Coturnix japonica: one gene and its partners. Each later gene encodes a partner of the first gene's protein in a complex. Links are inferred from orthologs where the notes say so. Each region holds a gene or a part of one and is shown in the gene's direction. Other genes may lie near its edges.

Region 1 (2,466 bases):
TTTTTATTGCTTGTGGTAAAGCAGTTGTGAAAGAAATGTGTTTTGCAAAGATGGTTTATATTTAATTTATAAATACAGAAGGCATCACATTTGAACTTCTTGTGAAAGCTGCTGTGCTTATCATTGCAGAAGTGTGGGAAATCTGGGGAAGCCAAGAATTGCAGAAAGCAAAGATGTTTGCTTTCTGATGTTGCTCTGCATGCACGTAACGATGGGCTCTTTCTCATCTTCCAGAGATCTATCGTATTGTTTCCCAGAAGCAAATGTCCGACAGACGTGAGAATGATATGTCTCCAAGCAACAATGTGGTTCCCATTCATGTCCCTCCAACCACCGAAAACAAACCAAAGATGCAGTGCTGTCAGAATATATAAGAATTGTTCACTCTTTCCTAAAAGGCTGTGTATATTCCCCAGGTCCAAGATTTAAATATATTTGTAATTCTTGTGGTTACTTTCTTGTGTTCTGTTACTGCTTATTCCTTTTGAATTTCTCCATGTCTTAAACACTTTGATTTCTGTGTTTATAATCTATTGCTTCTATGTGGCTGCAGTATTTTCCCAACGCTGACTTGTTGATTTTGGTTCAGTAAATAGTTTGGAGCTGAACTGATCTCTTTGCAGCGTGATGCCCGCTAGTCAGAACACAAGATACATTTAGTGAGCACTCGAAGATGTAATTCTGCTCCTTGCAAAACAATTATTGTCAGGTTAACTAGGAGAATATCTCTGGGCAGGATAATCTGTCTTTGTCTTAAGGTGTTGTATACTGCATCTAAAGCTTGATGGAACGCCTGTTGCTCTGAAGTGCAATTTTAATGTGAAGTTAAATGTCTTTGGCTACATCTTCAGACTGTCAAGAGGAGATCTTGCTATAGAATAGCCTGGGGGAGGAGGGGTTGGGGGGGAGTGAGCAAGAATTTCTCTCAAACAAGCAGCAGGGTTCTTGCTCCCAGTGAATGAGCTTTTGTGGTTTGGCACCTGCTGCAGGGGGCTGCGGTGCAGGCAGGGCTGCTGCAGGCGCTGGTGGGACTCACGTGAGCTGCCTTTGTGAAGCTGTGTGTGTCACTGAGGGTCACGGGAACATGCAGTGTGTGTTTGTGCTGCCTGAGGCTCAGCCTCCACAGTGCCAGTGCTGTCAGGGCTTGAGGATGCCTTTTTTCTTTCATGATACACAGACTTGAAGGATGCTGTCACATATTGCCTATCGCATATCAGTACGTGCCACACACATTAAGGTATTCAGATGCTCAAGTTGATCAGTCAGTAACTGCTACAACCTGGTCTTAGTTTTCAGTTCTCTTTCATCCAGTATTTTTAAATGATACCAGTGGTCTGGTACATGTTCTGTAACAACAAACATCTGGAGTAGTTACTGGATGCATTCATTTGGTGATTATCGCTCAGCCCAACTCATCTGCTCACTTAGTTCAGGGATCCATGAACTGTGCCTTCTGTCGCTGCACTCTGAAACCACTGCGTATCACACAGTACGTGCTATTCCCAGCCGCGCCATTAACGCCGAGATGTGGGGGCTACCAGCACTGCGGTTCTACTGGATTTAAAAGAACTGTCTGTATAAATGCTGGCTGTTATCTGTACAATTAGAGGAAGTAATTGGCTGTAGGGGACGTTTCTCAAACTCTGATATGACCCACTTAGAACATCCGGATTTGGGTAGGCACTACCAGCTGCATTTCTTACCCAACCTTTCTGTCTTGCGGTGCTCATGATGTGTAAGGCACACGGAAGGCATTGCTGTAGTCGGTCACTTTTTTTTTTGTTTTTAAATCCATTTCTCCTCCTAATATTAGTTCTGAAGATGCTACTTTCGATCTGTTTGTAAATTACTTTGTATTTTATGCATGTACTGTAACTTGATTCATTATTTTTTTAGATTGATTTAAAATATATTCATCCATGATTCTAATAAAGAATTACAGGGGACAACTCAGCATGGTGTTGGGTGCGCTTTTTGGGAGAAGTGGGATTTGACTTTAATGTTTTTACTTGTTAGCAACTAGTACCATTTCTTGGAACCGGGAGGACACACCAAAGTGGAAGTACTCCCAGAAGGGGAACTGGAAGGGCTACATGCTGGGACCAGGCCTGCAGCTTTTAGCATGACAATTTGGCTGCTTTGGGCTGCCTTTATGGTGTGAAGAATGAGGACTCTGTCTTACCAAATCCCTGAATAGCTTTTACAAACCTCATTTTTCCACATTACCACCAGTAAAAAAAAATAAATCCTATGGAATGACAGACTGCTGCCTTCTACAACAAACTATTTCAGCTGTTTGATCCTACCTGGTTGCCTTCTGCTGGAGGAGTGGTGCCATAGGAGCCAGCCTGCTGAGCACTGTGAGTTTTGGAAGTCACCTCAAGAGCACGTGGCAGCACTGAATCCTTCTGCCTGAACAGGCCTTTTGGGCCTCGGTATTGCCAGAGTCAAGACAAGGTATAAAGT
Region 2 (3,516 bases), on another chromosome or scaffold:
GGGTGAGTTCTGGGGGCAGCCACAGGTAGCCCTCCTGTTACATTGCTTTTTCTGCCCTGTGGGACTGTCCTAAGGCTTGTTCATGTACCAGCTGCCCTTGCCTGGTGGGTGTTTTTATCTCAGATTGCCCAGGAAAGGCAGCACTTTGCTCCGGGGTCCGTCCTGTCTCCATGCACCCCTCTCTCCTCTGCTGGCTGCACCGTCTTCCCATGTCCTGCTTTTATTCACAAGGTGACCCTTCTCTGTCCTGTCCTGCTTGGGAGGAACGCTGCCCTCCAAAGTCTTTGCCTTTCCCTTTGCCCTTTTCCAAGCAGGGGGTGGGCACTGCAGAAGTCACAATGCTCCCTCTAAACACACAGACTCCAGCAGCCCCGTGCTCCAGTGCATGGTGTGCAGCAATCCAAGCATTCAGGAGCTGCCCTAAACCTCATCATCTCGCCCTGCCCTTCCCAATTTTTCCTGTGATCAGCAAATCTGTCCTCCTGGAAAGGAAGCGAGGCTTTGATATTAAATTTCCTCCTTCCACTTGTCTCACTTTGGAGACCTTTGTTAAAAACACGGGCAGGAAAGAAGGCAGAAGGGAGCAGGCTGTCCCATGCTTCCTGTATCAGGATCACCTTCTGTCCCCTGCCTGGCAGAGCAGAGGGCAGGATTCAAGTTAACCCCATGGGGAGCCCTGCATGGTAACCACAAAGAAGAGCCAGCTCCTTCAGATCAGCCAAAACTCTTTGTTGCAGGTCGTATAATTACAGCGTAATGTTTGCTTATGGGAAGTAGGTTTTATTTTGGTCAGGGCTCTTTCCATGACTTTTGTTCCCTGTGTTTTGCTTGTGCCAAGAAATCTCTGCTGCTCGGGCCCTGTTGTGCTTGGCACGATTTAAATGACAAATGTGCCCAAGACTTCAGAATCTAAATATGTAGCCAGGGCAAGGAAGCAAAACAAGGCTGGTACTCAGCTGTGGTCTCTTCAGTAAATGCCAGCCACGCTTCATGAATATTTGCATGAGCATATTGTGTAGCAGGGTGAGTTTCAGAGCCCAGATGACATAATCAGTGGATAATTTAGGTTTGAAGAGACCTCTTGCTCTCCTCCTGCTTGAAGCAGCGCTGGTTTCAAAGCCTGGCCAGCCTGTCTGGGTCCCAGAGGGACAGCAGAGATCCATGGGATGGGGGTGGGAGGGCAGGGAAACACCCACTGCCCTTTATAGGGAGGGAAGGGGACTGCCCAAACCGTGGGCATGTGTCACTTAACCTGAGCTGACCCCACTGCTGGCAGACCCTGTGTGTGTGTGTGAGCCCTGCGGGTACCAGGCTCTGACCCCACATTGCAATGGGAACAGCCGTGCTTTGCTCCAGGCAGCATCCTGGGTCCATAGGGCTGCACTACAACAACCAGCTCTGCTGGTGCCACACAGCGATGGAGTTAATTGCAGTGGTGGCACAATTAGCACCAATCAGAGCTGGGCAGTGTCCTTAGGTGCATACAGAGCTGTGACCACCAATGTCGCAAGGCCTGGCTAATGATTAGCTTGCTCTCATCTGTGGCTCAGCTGAGATGGTTGTTTCCCAACAAGCTCAGGGTTCTGTTTCTCTTCCCATCCACTGCCCCCAGCAGTTCACTTTATCAGTGGCAAGGGCAGAGTACTCCGTCCTTTGGTGGATGACACATGTTCTTAAAGAGAGAAAGTGAAAAGCGGGGGCTCTTATCTCCTATTCCAAAGACCGAGTGCAGATGATCGCAGTGTGAAGTCCCTGCAGCATGTGTCCACGTCTGCACGCTGCTGCTGGGGCTCTGGTAAGAGGCTGCCTGATGAGGAGCAGTGCTCTGCCAGCACCAGGGAAGGAGGTGGCAGCTGGGGGGGAGGGAGAGGGGCTGCATCGTGTGGGTGTTGTCAGCTGGAGTCGCTCTGCCTGCCTATGATGGCCCTGATGGTCGCCCTGCTGTGGGTTGGGGTGGCTTTGCTGTGTTACAGACAGCTGCACCAGACCAGCACTTTGTCTGGAGGGGCGATGGAGGAGTCCTACCGGGACACGTTGGAGTGCACAGAAGAGGACATCACGGACAAGGTAGGAGCAAGGCTGTGTGTGCCCAAATGGCACTCATCGGTGGCATGAAGGGCTTTGGGATGGATGGGCCAGGGCTGGGCTGAAGCTTCTCTTACTGCTTTGAATGAGGAGGACATAACCTGGGTGCCCTCTGTCCCTATGCAAAGAGCCCTGTCTCTGGGGTCAGCGTGCCACCTGCTTGCAGGTGACAGCATCTTCATGCTGGTCCTTGTGGGATGGTAAAGCAAGGAGGACCAGGAGGCTGTTGTTGAAGCACCCCTGGTTAAGAATAGCAAGGGGAAAGATGGAAAGTGAAAGATGAGTGAGCTCTGCCTTGAGTAAATGTTTGCTGCAGCCACAAAACTCCTTCAAAATGGCTTTTTTTTAGCTGTGCAGTCAGGAGCAGGGAGCTGTGTGGGAAAGGGAAGTGTATATGTGGCTGTTTGCAGCATCAATTGCCTGCTTCCCCAGCACAGCAGCACGGTGGCTCAGGTTCTGCTGATGTGCTGCTGGCTGCTTTGTTTGTGCATGGTTGTGGATGAGACCCAGCCGGGGTGCTTTGCTCTGGGCATTGCTGTAGCATCTTGTTATGAAGGAATGAAGCAGGGAGGCATGTTTCTACTTGGGACACATGGGAAACCAGGGCACTGTAAAGCATAGGACCTGAGCAAAAGCCTGGCTGCCATCCCCTTGTGGGTGGCTTCTGCTTTGAGGGGGGGTTGGGAGCAATGCTCTGCCTGTTGCTGGGGGTCTGTGCTGAGCTGTGCCTCTCTCCCACCCAGGTGGTCTTTCTGGAGAAGCGGGTGACGGAGCTGGAGAAGGACACGGCTGCCAATGGCGAGCAGCACAGCCGCCTCAAGCAGGAGAACCTGCAGCTGGTGCACAGGTAAAGGAGCTGGCCAGGCTCTCCTGCAGGATCATCAGGTTCCATGGGAGCTTTTTAGGGTCATGGGCAAATGCCCTGGACTCTCTCTGTGCAAATATTCTGCTCAGTTGAATGCAAATACGGAGCTCTGTGGGTATTTCCCTGTGTGCCCACCTCTCTGTGCGGCCCCAGGGGTTGGCTTGGGGGGCTGCAGGTTGGTGTCTCCTGGAGAGCTCTGCTCAGGTGGATGTGCAGCACAGTCTGTGCCTGCTCTGCCCTATCACAGCCCCAGCCCCGATGTTTTCAGCCCCCGCTGCAGCCCTGTGGATCCCACGGTAACTGATGGCTGCCCTCCCCGAGCTGGCAGGCTCCAGCAGCATATTTACACCCGCAGATAAACCCTCCAGGAGTTATCTATAGGGCTGTAAGGCTGTTAAGTAACAGCTGTGTCATGGAACCGAGCGATTCAAACAAAGGTTTCTCTAAGCCCTGATAAACTCTGCAGCGGAGGGGAATGTTTTCACTTTAGCAGCTTGGCCCAGAAGTGTCAGCCGGCTTTTAATCAAGCCTTGTACTCGCTGCTGGTTGAAGAATGGCTTTATCTG
Region 3 (3,992 bases), on another chromosome or scaffold:
CTATCGGAGCATGCAGACAAATATCCAGCTCACAGTCAAAACTTAAGGGTCATCCAAGTAGTTATTTAAATTGTTAAAGATAACATGAGCTTGGACTCAGCCTGTAAAGGGAAACTAATGACTGTGTGCCGAGCAGTGATCCCCAACCTCACCTGACCTCAGACAATAACTCGCTCAGCGTTATGTGGTGCGGGCAACATCTTACTTTACTCTCCCTAATGGCCTTCAACTTTAACTTTTTAATTTCCTGTAGCTCAGAGCAGCAGGAGAAGGTTTCCCAAGCGTTTGTTGCTCACTAACCCACGAGCCAGGGCTGGGGACGTGTAAGGGGAGGATGATGAGGCTTGGTTCTCTGCTTGCTGTGGGTTACATGATGGGATACAGAGCCTTCAACCCTCACTGCACGCAGGTTTTTGGGTAGCACTGAGGCTGTGTCTGTCACTCTGCTTAATGCTGCATATATATGTGTGCATCGACTCCACAGAAGTGCACACAAGAGAGCTGTTTTCACACCCTCACTTTAATCAAACAGAATGGTCAGGGTGGGGTGGGTAAAAAAACAAGTTCCATAACTTCCACAGGCGGTTTGCACCAGGACAAGGGCCCGAGCTGGACCAGCCCGAAGCGGCCGCGGCCTGTGTACGAGGGGCTCCTTCCCTCGGCGCTCACGGAGACGGGGCGGCGTGGAGAGGCGCAGAGCTCTCCCTCCTATCTACAAAGCTCTGAACGAAGGGAGCCGCTGCGTTCAGGCGGAACTCAGCCTCATGCCTCCCGTTCCCTTCCGCCCCAGCCGGGCACCGCCGCCGGGAGAAAGGGAAGGGGAAAGGAAGGGAAAGGAAAGGAAGGGAAGCACCGCCCGCCCGGCGGCCGCGGGGAGGAGGCGAACCCTGCCCTCTGCCCTCTGACCGCCGCCGCTGCCGCCGCCGGCAGCATGGGGAAGGCGGAAGCGGCGGAGCCGGCCCGTGAGGCCGGGCGGTGCGGGGGGAGCGCGGCGAGAGGCTGAGGAGCGGGAGGGCAGCACGGAGCGGAGCGGGGCGGCGGCGAGCGCGGTCCCCTTCCGCGCTGCCCGCCGCCCTGAGGAGCGTAAGAGGCCGGGAGGCCTGCGGGGCCCGCGCTGCTACGGGGGGCTGCGGCGCGTCGGGCCGGGCGGAGGGGCCGTGGGCCTGGGGATGACCTGGGGGCGGCGGGGAACCGGGCCGGGGGCGGCACGGGGCTGTGCCGGGAAGGGCGGCGGGGCCGGCCGAGAAACCGGGAGCCTTGTAGCGATGGAGTCACCCGCAGGGCTGCCTTGGGAGGGGGAGACCTGAGCGGTGGTCGGTGCCTCCTGAGAGAAGTGCTCACCCGGGGTCGGTGGCAGGTGCCTCCGCTGTAAGTGCCCTTACGCAGTAACTTGAAGACTTAGAGACTTTGTTTTGGTTATTGCTGCTGCGGAGAGCTTCAAAGATGATGCTGGCAGAGCAAGCCCAGAAGTGGTTCCCAACTCACGTGCAAGTCACGGTTCTTCAAGCCAAAGGTCTGAAGCCCAAAGGCAAAAGTGGCACCAACGATGCGTACACCATCATCCAGCTGGGCAAGGAGAAGTACTCCACCTCTGTAGCTGAGAAGACCCTGGATCCGGTCTGGAAGGAAGAGGCCTCCTTCGAGCTGCCTGGATTGCTGATGCAGGAGAACCCAGACAGATACATCCTGTACCTGATTGTCATGCACAGGTCACTGGTGGGGCTGGACAAGTTCCTGGGACAGGTGGCCGTAAATCTGAACGATGTTTTTGAGGACAAGCAAAGAAGGAAAACAGAGTAAGTGATAGTTGTTTCTTTGCTTTAACTGTGGCCTGTTTGCTTTGTACTTTGGAGGAGGGCAGAAATGGAAGTCTTGTTATCAAAGTATTTGGAAATGAAATTGGGACATTTCTATCTTCTATGGTGTTCAAAGCCCCAGGCACATACAGTTGTGTCATTAGGGACTGAGAAGTTCTCTGTAATCACAGCGGTTATTCTGCACAGGGTAGGGCGGTCAATACATGAACATTCTTTGACAGATTATTGTGTACAATGTGAACTCATTGCAATCTGTATTTCTAATGATTTTTTTTCTCCATCCGCTCAAGGCAATATCCCCATTCAACATGTGCCCCAGTTTGAACCATGCGTAAGATTCAGTCTCTCTTGAAGCCTGATGTCCTTCGTCCTAAAAATGCTTTTCATCAACACCTGCATCCAAGTGTCTTTAAATATTCTTTAATTTATGTTTTAGTGGCCACTGAACTGTGACTTATGAAGGCTTGCCACAGCAGTGCAGTGCTTTTCTGATCCTGATTAGTCCTAGGCCGTGATCCTTGCTATATCAGGCCTCTGCGGAGAAGACAGAAGAGAACGTGCTGCTGTTGTAGTAGCCTCCATCATTACATACAGAATCATCACAATTGTCATTTGCCAGCAAATTCTAACACTAGAATTCAAGAAAACAAAAAATAAAAGTATCACAGCAGTGTATTAGGCTGAACGGTAAATGTGTCAAACTGTTATGGGGTTTTTTTTGTGTATGTTTCTCAACTTAACTAGTAAAATGGTTAGCATCTCTGGTGAGGATATGGTTGCACAAAGATATTTGGTACCAGTGTAATTTATCCTTCAAAGTTTGTGGGAATAAACTGTATAGCTGTAAGTGTACTGTTTGTATGCCTGGTACTGTTTGTTGTAGGTAGATGTGGCCCACAGAAGTAGCACAAGAATAGCATGGAGACTTCTAGGCTAGTTGTGTGTAGACACAGGTATTCTGCAGTGGTTAAAAGTTAATGCCCAGGTGTCTTTACTTCTCTCCTCTAGAGGTTAATATCTCATCTGTTGAGTAGAAGGGATCCTGTGCCCAAACCTCAGCTGTTAAAACTGTATAAGTCTGGTATTTCTTGTGTTCGCTGTGGTGGGTTTACGGTAAGATGCTGGACTTTGCATCAAAGTGACTAAGACTCTGGCATCATTTATCTTTTGCTGACTGCGCTGTGCAGGCGTCAACCTCCAGCAGAGTCAGAGCAGACAGTTGGAGACAGCAGTCAGTGCAGCAGTATTAGCCAGATCATGCTGATCAGTGCCTGAAAGCCATCCCAAAACCTGGCTCTGCTTATGTGCGGTGGTGGTTGAGGTTGAAGGAGCACTGAAGGCAGGTCAAAGCAGTCTTTGGATTGCTTTTCTTTTTTTCTTTTTCTTTTTTTCCCCCCCTTTAATTTACTAGCAAAATGATATGTTCACACATATACAAGAGAGCAAAGCATCCTTACAGAGTCTCTTGTGGGTTTGTAGTGTGAACTAATATACTTTTTAATTGCTTATCTTTTTAATGGCAGGCCAACAGCAGTAGTTCTCTTTATGCAATATGTGGTAATGCCTGTAGCTTTAGGCTCTTAATTTCTGTTTACACTGGGTTCAAGAAGTTTCAGTGCTCTTTAGACATGGATCTTAAGTACTCTTTAATCATCAGTTGTAATTATCTTGCAAGTCAGTAGACAACTGCTTTAGGTTAAACACCTTACTGCTCTGCAGGAAAAAGGTGACTGAAGAACATAAAAACGCTACTAAAAGTAAAAACTTAGTCAACGTAGATGAAAATGTCTGTTCACAAGCTGGACGAAAATAAGTAAATTATTCATGTATTACTATGAATAATGTTTTCCTTTGGGAATCATACACTTAGCATCAATTTTACTAAAAGTGTTGCTGGAGTTCTTACAAAACCATCACAAAAAAGGTGTGACTGGCAGAATAGACGCAGTGCTTGTTGCAGTGAAGTAAATATGCAAAGCCTGTCAGTATGTTTTAATAGGAAGTTTTGTTTAGTGTGGTTTCATATGTGTTCTTTATTCTTTCTTTCTCTGAAGTGTGAGAGAAGAGCTCATGCTGCATGAATGTGAAGTGATGCCTCCCCAGGCTGCTACAGAACCTGCTGGGGCTCTCCGAGCTGCCCGTGAGCCATACTGCAGGAGGTTGGGCCCCCTTGGG
Region 4 (3,516 bases), on another chromosome or scaffold:
AAATTATTTTTTTATTTTTATTTTTTTTCCAAATCTGGCACCAGTTGCCACAGGAAAAGAGGAAGAGAGGAAATTGAAAGAGAGTGGAGGAAAAACTGAATCAATGGTAGATTGTTAGAGAATAGGAGGGAGTCCTTTGAGGGCCTTGGGTTTATCTTCTCATGCCATTAAGAATGGGGAAATACGGAGGCAGCAGCTTGGTGAAAATAATCTAAGAGCTGTGACAAGGCTGAATGTCCTGATGGTGAATGAGTAGTGAAACTGCAGGTGAAATTCAAAATAAATAAATGAGAAATGATGTATCTGGAAAATAAAATGCAGCTCTAGCAGGCATATGCAGTTTTTTGACTTAGAGTAGGCTACATGATGAAGAAAAAAATGTAGTGTGCTTGTGGATAATTCTCTTGAGGTACTATGTCAGTGCTTAGTGATGGTCAAAGATCCACAAACCCTTAGGACTTGTTAGGAAAGGAATAAATGAAAAAAGAATGATACTGCTTTATAAACATGGAGTAAATATGTGCATCCTGTTTTGCACGCAGCTGTACTTCCATCTCTGAAATAAAACAGTAAAAAATGCAAATAAATGTGATGGGTGATCAAAGTCTTTCTCTGACTAGGGAGAGCCCTAGGGAGACTAGGGCTCTTTATGTTGAGACTTTCTGAAAGCAGGACAAAAATGTATATGATCGCAAGTGACATGGAGAAGATGAATGGTGAGCCAGTAGTAATTATTTCCTGTAATGAGAACACTCTGGAAACTAGAAGGAAAATCATTTTTAGTCAGTATATAACTAAATCTAATAACTAATTGTCACAAAGTGACAACAGGACAGAAAACAGTGTTGAAAATTATGCGAAGTTGCAACAGAAAAGCCCATTGAGGTACATACAAATACACATGATTTCTGGATCAGGAAGCTTATTTAATTACAAATTGCTAGAAGTTGGGAGAACATATAAGGAATGCACATGGCTATATTTCTTCTATGCTGTTTACAGGCAGCCCTCAGTCATTGCAGGTCATTAGAGAGACTGATGAGCTAACTAGACCTGTAATATGATTTACAATGGTCATTTTTATACTTTGTTTTGTCAGTCATCATTAAGTGAATTTATACTATCTGTCTTTTCATTAAAGATCTAGAGAAGGGATTGTTATGTTTCCAGTGATAAAATAAAATCCAACAACCCAAAATCCTGCTTACTTACTTTCAGTGGTATTCAGGATATTTTTCTTATTTAAATTGATCTTCTTGCTCTTCAGAAAGATTTAACAAAAAGGGGAGAACTGGCATGGAATCTAACTACTTTGTAAGCATCATATTGAGGATTTGACTAAATAAAGGTTTTAAATATTGGGCCAAGAGCATGAAGAGGGAAAAATCTGTTTTTGTTTCAATTTCCCATGGAAAGAAAGTGGTCAATGTGTAAAGGATAAACTGCAGGAAATCCATCCCAACAGTACCAACATCCCAGACAGATAGTTCCTATTATGCACGAGTAACCTCAAGGATAAGTGGATGTGTCTAACTAATTCAGAATTCATGAACAGGATTTAGATAAACTGAGCATCTATACCCAATGTAAAAGCTAAATGTGTCAGTTGATTTATGTTATTCTCCCAAAAGCTGAAGTGTTTCTCTGTTGCAGGTAATAAGAACTTGGATCTAGTGGAAGTGCAAGTAAAGACAGAGTGCAGATATACACATAGCACACTGTAGGTTGGAAAGAAGGAACATCAAGCTATAGTTATTGAGCAATTTTTTCAAGGCAGCTTTTTTTTTTTTTTTTTATAAATTGTATATTTGGGTGAAGTTTTGTTAGATGTAGAAAATAATCAGTAATTACTAAGAAATGCATTACCACTTGATTTCTGCTGTCTAGTTCTAAAATAGCGGGTTTTTTTCCTGCTGATGTCTCGTGGTTGTATTTATTTTAAAGCCAAACCTAGGTGGGTTTTAAGGTATAGGAAATGTTCATTCAGGGAGCAAGTTACACCTATTGAGTTTCATTTGTGCAGTGAGGTTGGTGGCTTAGCAACCAGAACAGTTATGGACTAGTTTAATTAAGATGGTTGTTCCTGATTGTACCTGAGTGCAAGACAAGTAGCTCTAATGGAAAACAAATTTGCCTGTCTAATTTTTGTGGGTTCTTTTTCAAGGAGGGAGGGGGAGGGGAAAAAAGCCATAAAAAATCTTCCTGAAATGTAAAAGAATGGTTAAGTGCTGGAAACTCAGAGAAGGGGTGGTAAAGAATAAAAGACCCAAAGAGGCTGGTTCAAAGCAGTGTATTGCTCTTTTAAAATGGATTAAAAAACAGTTTCAGCTCCTAGCGTATGTGTTCATTTTTTCATGCTCCTGTCTGTATTAGTTGCTTCTGATATTCCAAGACTTTCAAGTCACATTGGCTTTATGGAGATACATATTATGAAAGCAGTATTTATATGTCTAGTGTTTTCTTGAAAATGTTTTCTTCCAAAATACCGCTTTTCATTCTTGTTTGCTCTTTTTGCATTCACTTTGCTTCTCTTTGTACTCTGGAGTGGAGCAGCAACCTAAGAAGCCCGCAGAGGGAGCAGCATTAGGATCTGCTTCTCATTTTTCCACTTTAGTAACCTTTTTGTTTGTCTTCTGTGCTTTGGCTGCGCATTTAGTGTTTTTTTTTCTTTATTCTCCATGACTGCCTGCCATTTCTAGAGGCACTTTTTCTACATGACATTTTCTTCCTTTTGTTGCGTGGTCTTTGATGCCTCTAACCTTCCTGGCCTGTGTTTGGCCTGCAGTGTCTTTCCCTTCATTGTATTCCCTTTTGGTTTTAGGAATACAAACCTATTACAATACAAGAATAGGATTTAACAGCCAGTTGGAGTGAAAAGGTGCTGAAGTCTGTGTCAACAATCTCAAAGCCAGTTTGGCTAAATCAAGGTGGTACCACGCATCTTGGGAAAGTGAGTTGAAGGTGTTTGTTGCTGGGATATAATAGTATTCTTCTACAGCGTGGTAGAAAACTGAGTTTTAATGATCACTGTTTACCTGTGGATACCTGTAGATGGCCAGTTGCTAGTGTGATAATTACAGTATTTAAAATCTGCGACTCTGTGTGTTTTAGGCTGACCTGTCTTTGTACAATGAATTCAGATCATGGAAGGATGAGCCTACTATGGACAGAACATGCCCATTCTTGGACAAAATCTATCGGGAAGATATTTTTCCATGTTTAACCTTCTCAAAAAGTGAGGTATGTACTCTTAAGTGTTGTCACTGATGCTTTTTATTTAAATATGTTACATGGAACCAGTAGACTATCTTAATTTACGTATGAAGTTCAAACATTTTTGTTTCACCGGAGTATGAAAGTTTACAGTGAAATACCCAAGTTTGGTCTGGAGTATTGAAGTGATCAGTTTTTCTTTTCCATTTCCTATTTTAGATGTGGCTTTCTTAGGTGGAGGCTGTCTACCTCTTTCTGTGTTAATACTGCCTATCAGAGTAAGTGTTTGTAGGAAGGAGTGAT
Region 5 (3,516 bases), on another chromosome or scaffold:
CCTGTCTGTCGGTACCTGGAGTTGGTGGCACAGGTGGCCAGTGAAAGGAGGGATGAGGGGCAGAGATCTTTGCATTTATAATTATGTAAAGGTCATTCTTGGATATAAATGCATCCAAAAGAAAAGAGCTGACAGAATATTACCTGAAGTTTGAGACTAACTGGAGCAGAAAAGAAGATCCTGCGTGAGATCTTGCTGATTTCTAATTGCCAGAGCAATCTGCAGTCTTTTGTGAGGTATGTTCCATTGAAAAATTCTGGCAGGGAGAAGACATGTTTTGGCTCTTGATCACTAGACGTTTTAAAAAGGAAAGGGTGGGGGGGAAGGAAGGAGGGAGAAGGCTTGCTCCCTCTTGCTTTAATTTGGCTTGCAAAGCTCCTTTTGCTATTACACCATGAAGTACCATCTGTTGGTGTAAAATGCGTGGGAGCTTTCATGATGTGGAGAGAAAAGAGACTTCCTGCAGGTAGAACCACTTGGAGAAAAAGGGGGGAAGGAAGCTGTGGAATAAGCAACAGGGATACCCACAACTTTCTCTGTTCTTATCTCTCCATCTTTTCACCATGGAAGTCAAACAGTGTTTACATTCTTCCCTCTACTATCTTTATCCCTTGTGTTATTGATTCTGCCCTTCTGGTTTCCTGGTGTTGCGTTATCTGTCTTACCTCTTTTATTTCTTCTTCTAGAAGAGTCGCCCATTTAATTTTTTAGAGAAAGAAACAGATGTCCAGAGTAATTCTCTGGCTCAGATGATCAGGTTTGTTAAATCTCACTGGCAAATGTTTCTTTTGCAGCTGCTATTGCTGAAATTTGCCTGAAGTCCATCTTTGACCTCAGCTGATGAAGATTTCTTGGCTGAGAGGGACAAAGCCACTTGCGCAGACCTATTTGCTAGATATATATATTTTGTACTGACCCTCCTTTCCATGGCATCTGGGTTGGAAACAGAGGGTAGATGAGGAAAGAGGAAGTGATTGATACCTATGAGCAGGTGTCATCTTCACTCTTGTCTCTGGCTTTTTGAAGGAGATGATCTTGCATCTGTGATGGCCTTGGCAAGGTTTGTCGGTAGAAGCACTGTCTTACATTAGAAAGAAGCGTATTCAGATGGTGTGACCAAAAACTTGTTTGATGCTTTTCCCCCACACAAACTTCATCTGTCCTCTACTAAGACCTTTTTAAAAGCTGAGGGTTTTCACTGACTTGCCTAGAGTAGAACCTAGGCTGTTTCTATCCACATGTCCTGGCAGACAGATTCTATGTTAAGGCGCTGTTCTGCTTCCGTGAAGAAGCAGATGACCTTTTTGTTTCTTCTTGACTGGGTGAAAGGTTTAAATACATCCTGACAGGAGGCAGCTCTCTGTGGTGATACTGATGTGGAACAGCCTTCCAGGTGCTGTAGGATCACGTCCATGTCTTCAGCCTAGCGAACACACTGTGAGCTGTACTCCCTTGGGCAGAGCACTTGGGTAATGTGAGCAGGCTGGTAGCATGACCGTATAAGAGCCACACAGCAGGAGGAGAAGCTTGCCTCCCAATGCTGATTTCCCAGGGAGATGAAGTATGCAGCTTTTTTTTCCCTTCCAAAAAGGGTAACAAATGTGGGCGTAGATATCTGGCTGCAAATTCCGTATTTTGTCACATAGTTTGAGGTGTTTACAATCTGTCATCCCCAAATCTGTCTTGCAGGATGAAGCATTTTTATGGTGTTTGATGTGAAAGATGTGTGAAGTCCACGAGAGGCAGAACACCTCACCTGTTAGAAGACCATGGTGCTGATAGTGCTGAAGTGGTTGATCCCATGCTGATTTCACCCCAAGAATGGATGGCAAGGATTGGCATTTAATTAAGAATCAGCACGTTTCAGTTGCTCTATTATTCTGTAGCTTGCAGCATTTGTAAATTGCGGTTGCCTTGCCACACTACAAAGGAGCAAACCAGGTTTTGTGCAGTCCTTGGAGACCGCATTCTAATTTATGTCAGTTCCATGCTAAAACCAGCCTTGGCTGGCATATTTCACCAGGGAAGGTCTTTGCATCAACCTTGCTTTCTGAGACTTCAAGATGAGAGGCTATAACTTGTTTCTGGGATTCAGGGGAATGTCTGCTATCAATCAGATTTCTTTCTTATTTTTTAAACTTCAAATGTGGATGCCTTATTCACATGTGAAGCAGTTGAAGGTTGTCGTAGTATATGTGTAATCAGATCTTTTAGTTCACAGATAGCAACTTTGGTGTAATAACAAGTGGTGAGTGCAGAGGAGTAACTGTGGCCTCCAGTTTGGCAGCCGACCTTCCAGCTGATGGGGATGTAGTGCAGATTTGGCCCATGGCATTTTTCTGTGAATACTTTCAGGGTTGAAACAAGGGATGCCTGAAGACCGCCTGCTTTCTGCTTACTGTCAGACCAATGGAGAGGTGTCACCACTTCTATTCCTTTAAACAAATCAGTTCTGTCTCTTGCTAAATCCTGTCTGCCAGTGCATTAGAGAAAACAGATTTTCTGGTGCCTCAGGCAGCTCAAATCTGCAAAATGAAAGTACCGTAGACAGAATTACTGGGAAAACATGACTGTAGGATGCTGGCAGGGCAGCCAATGGGACTGCTGTGCCTTAGGCATCTGCCTGCCCTGGTTAGGGGCTGATCTTCAGCATAATGCTCCCCACCTGCATTGTAGTGGACCAGTTCATGGCCCAAAGCTTTTTTGATGTTGAAGTCACGATTTGAGGCTGGCTGTCTCTTTCAAGAGGAAAGGCAGCTTCCTTGTCTTCTGCAAAACAGGCTATAGGGGAGCTGGTGGAGTCACTGCCCCTATAGGTGCTCAAGGAAAGGATAGATATAACACTGAATAGTGTGGTATGGTGGTGATGGGTTGATGGCTGGACTAGATGATCTGAGTGGTCTTTCCAGCCTTCATGGATTCTATGACAAAGGCTGTCTCATTGGATGGGCTGCTTTCTGGTAGCTGGTGCTTCAGATAGAGGGGACAGGCTGAACTGCATGCTGTCTTCTTATCCCTCTGGTTCATCTTCAGCCCCTTCCTAATTTGAGAGATTGTAGATATAATGTTAATAAAAATGGTAAGAAATGGATGCTTGGGTCTTGCCCCTCAACCTCTGTTTTCCTTCTTACAGGTCATGGAGGCAGAACAAACCAAGACAAGAAGTGAGTTGGTTCACAAGGAGACCGCAGCCAAATACAATGCTGCCATGGGGAGGATGAAGCAGCTGGAAAAGAAGCTGAAAAGAGCCATCAATAAATCAAAGTAGGTTTCACACTTGGAGATGAGTTTAGTGGTCAAGTCTGTTCATGGGACAGGGGATTCTGTGGGATTTTGGAAACCTGTGAAAAGATGTTGTCCTTTGCAGCACAAATTGTACTAGAGAAGTTTCCTGGGTGTATTCTTAGTTGTGTTTTAGTGCACTGAAATCTTCCGTAATGAGTGACTTGAGAACGAGGCATATGGGATTAAACAGAAGAAAAAACACAACAAAACAAAACCCTGAAGCTGCAAAAC

What was found.
Region 2: the proteins of RAB11A (region 1) and RAB11FIP3 are in contact, whole or in part, in a crystal structure (PDB 2HV8), measured with the Homo sapiens proteins. The link is inferred for Coturnix japonica from reciprocal best matches to the Homo sapiens genes RAB11A and RAB11FIP3. Residues at the interface, in NP_004654.1 of Homo sapiens: Arg33, Ile44, Gly45, Val46, Glu47, Phe48, Ala49, Thr50, Trp65, Arg72, Arg74, Ala75, Ile76, Ala79, Tyr80, Arg82; in NP_055515.1 of Homo sapiens: Asn731, Phe732, Gln735, Ile738, Asp739, Arg740, Ile742, Val743, Met746, Glu747, Pro750, Ser751, Leu753, Glu754, Val755, Lys756.
Region 3: the proteins of RAB11A (region 1) and RAB11FIP2 are in contact, whole or in part, in a crystal structure (PDB 2GZD), measured with the Homo sapiens proteins. The link is inferred for Coturnix japonica from reciprocal best matches to the Homo sapiens genes RAB11A and RAB11FIP2. Residues at the interface, in NP_004654.1 of Homo sapiens: Arg33, Ile44, Gly45, Val46, Glu47, Phe48, Ala49, Thr50, Lys61, Trp65, Arg72, Arg74, Ala75, Ile76, Ala79, Tyr80, Arg82; in NP_055719.1 of Homo sapiens: Glu478, Ile481, Asp482, Asn483, Leu485, Val486, Met489, Glu490, Pro493, Ser494, Leu496, Arg497, Val498.
Region 4: the proteins of RAB11A (region 1) and RAB3IP are in contact, whole or in part, in a crystal structure (PDB 4UJ5), measured with the Homo sapiens proteins. The link is inferred for Coturnix japonica from reciprocal best matches to the Homo sapiens genes RAB11A and RAB3IP. Residues at the interface, in NP_004654.1 of Homo sapiens: Phe36, Leu38, Glu39, Asp127, Leu128, Arg129, His130, Leu131, Arg132, Ala133, Pro135, Thr136, Leu156; in NP_783322.1 of Homo sapiens: Asn367, Thr368, Leu369, Ser370, Ile371, Glu372, Pro373, Asp412, Arg424, Thr428, Cys431, Asn432, Thr435, Tyr439, Leu444, Val445, Lys446, Gln447, Gln448.
Region 5: the proteins of RAB11A (region 1) and SH3BP5 are in contact, whole or in part, in a crystal structure (PDB 6IXV), measured with the Homo sapiens proteins. The link is inferred for Coturnix japonica from reciprocal best matches to the Homo sapiens genes RAB11A and SH3BP5. Residues at the interface, in NP_004654.1 of Homo sapiens: Tyr8, Asp9, Tyr10, Leu11, Lys13, Glu35, Phe36, Asn37, Leu38, Glu39, Ser40, Ser42, Thr43, Ile44, Phe48, Lys58, Gln63, Trp65, Tyr73, Ile76, Ala79, Arg82, Gly83; in NP_004835.2 of Homo sapiens: Asp42, Ile45, Gln46, Leu49, Glu50, Asn53, Thr56, Ile59, Asn60, Glu63, Thr64, Glu67, Lys240, Tyr243, Leu247, Leu250, Glu251, Ile253, Ser254, Asp255, Ile257, His258, Arg261.

The regions. Positions count from the first base shown.
Region 1 is NC_029525.1:16,462,711-16,465,176, forward strand, and holds the end of RAB11A (ras-related protein Rab-11A), read left to right. Parts: intron 1-234; coding exon 235-374; 3' UTR 375-1,953; downstream 1,954-2,466. UniProt on the Homo sapiens protein: The small GTPases Rab are key regulators of intracellular membrane trafficking, from the formation of transport vesicles to their fusion with membranes.
Region 2 is NC_029529.1:11,456,090-11,459,605, forward strand, and holds part of RAB11FIP3 (rab11 family-interacting protein 3), read left to right. Parts: intron 1-1,973; coding exon 1,974-2,067; intron 2,068-2,828; coding exon 2,829-2,932; intron 2,933-3,516. UniProt on the Homo sapiens protein: Downstream effector molecule for Rab11 GTPase which is involved in endocytic trafficking, cytokinesis and intracellular ciliogenesis by participating in membrane delivery. Recruited by Rab11 to endosomes where it links Rab11 to dynein motor complex.
Region 3 is NC_029521.1:26,301,619-26,305,610, reverse strand, and holds the start of RAB11FIP2 (rab11 family-interacting protein 2), read left to right. Parts: upstream 1-1,186; 5' UTR 1,187-1,443; coding exon 1,444-1,796; intron 1,797-3,992. UniProt on the Homo sapiens protein: A Rab11 effector binding preferentially phosphatidylinositol 3,4,5-trisphosphate (PtdInsP3) and phosphatidic acid (PA) and acting in the regulation of the transport of vesicles from the endosomal recycling compartment (ERC) to the plasma membrane.
Region 4 is NC_029516.1:32,272,501-32,276,016, forward strand, and holds part of RAB3IP (rab-3A-interacting protein), read left to right. Parts: intron 1-3,111; coding exon 3,112-3,240; intron 3,241-3,516. UniProt on the Homo sapiens protein: Guanine nucleotide exchange factor (GEF) which may activate RAB8A and RAB8B. Promotes the exchange of GDP to GTP, converting inactive GDP-bound Rab proteins into their active GTP-bound form.
Region 5 is NC_029517.1:38,182,608-38,186,123, forward strand, and holds part of SH3BP5 (SH3 domain-binding protein 5), read left to right. Parts: intron 1-3,133; coding exon 3,134-3,264; intron 3,265-3,516. UniProt on the Homo sapiens protein: Functions as a guanine nucleotide exchange factor (GEF) with specificity for RAB11A and RAB25. Inhibits the auto- and transphosphorylation activity of BTK. Plays a negative regulatory role in BTK-related cytoplasmic signaling in B-cells.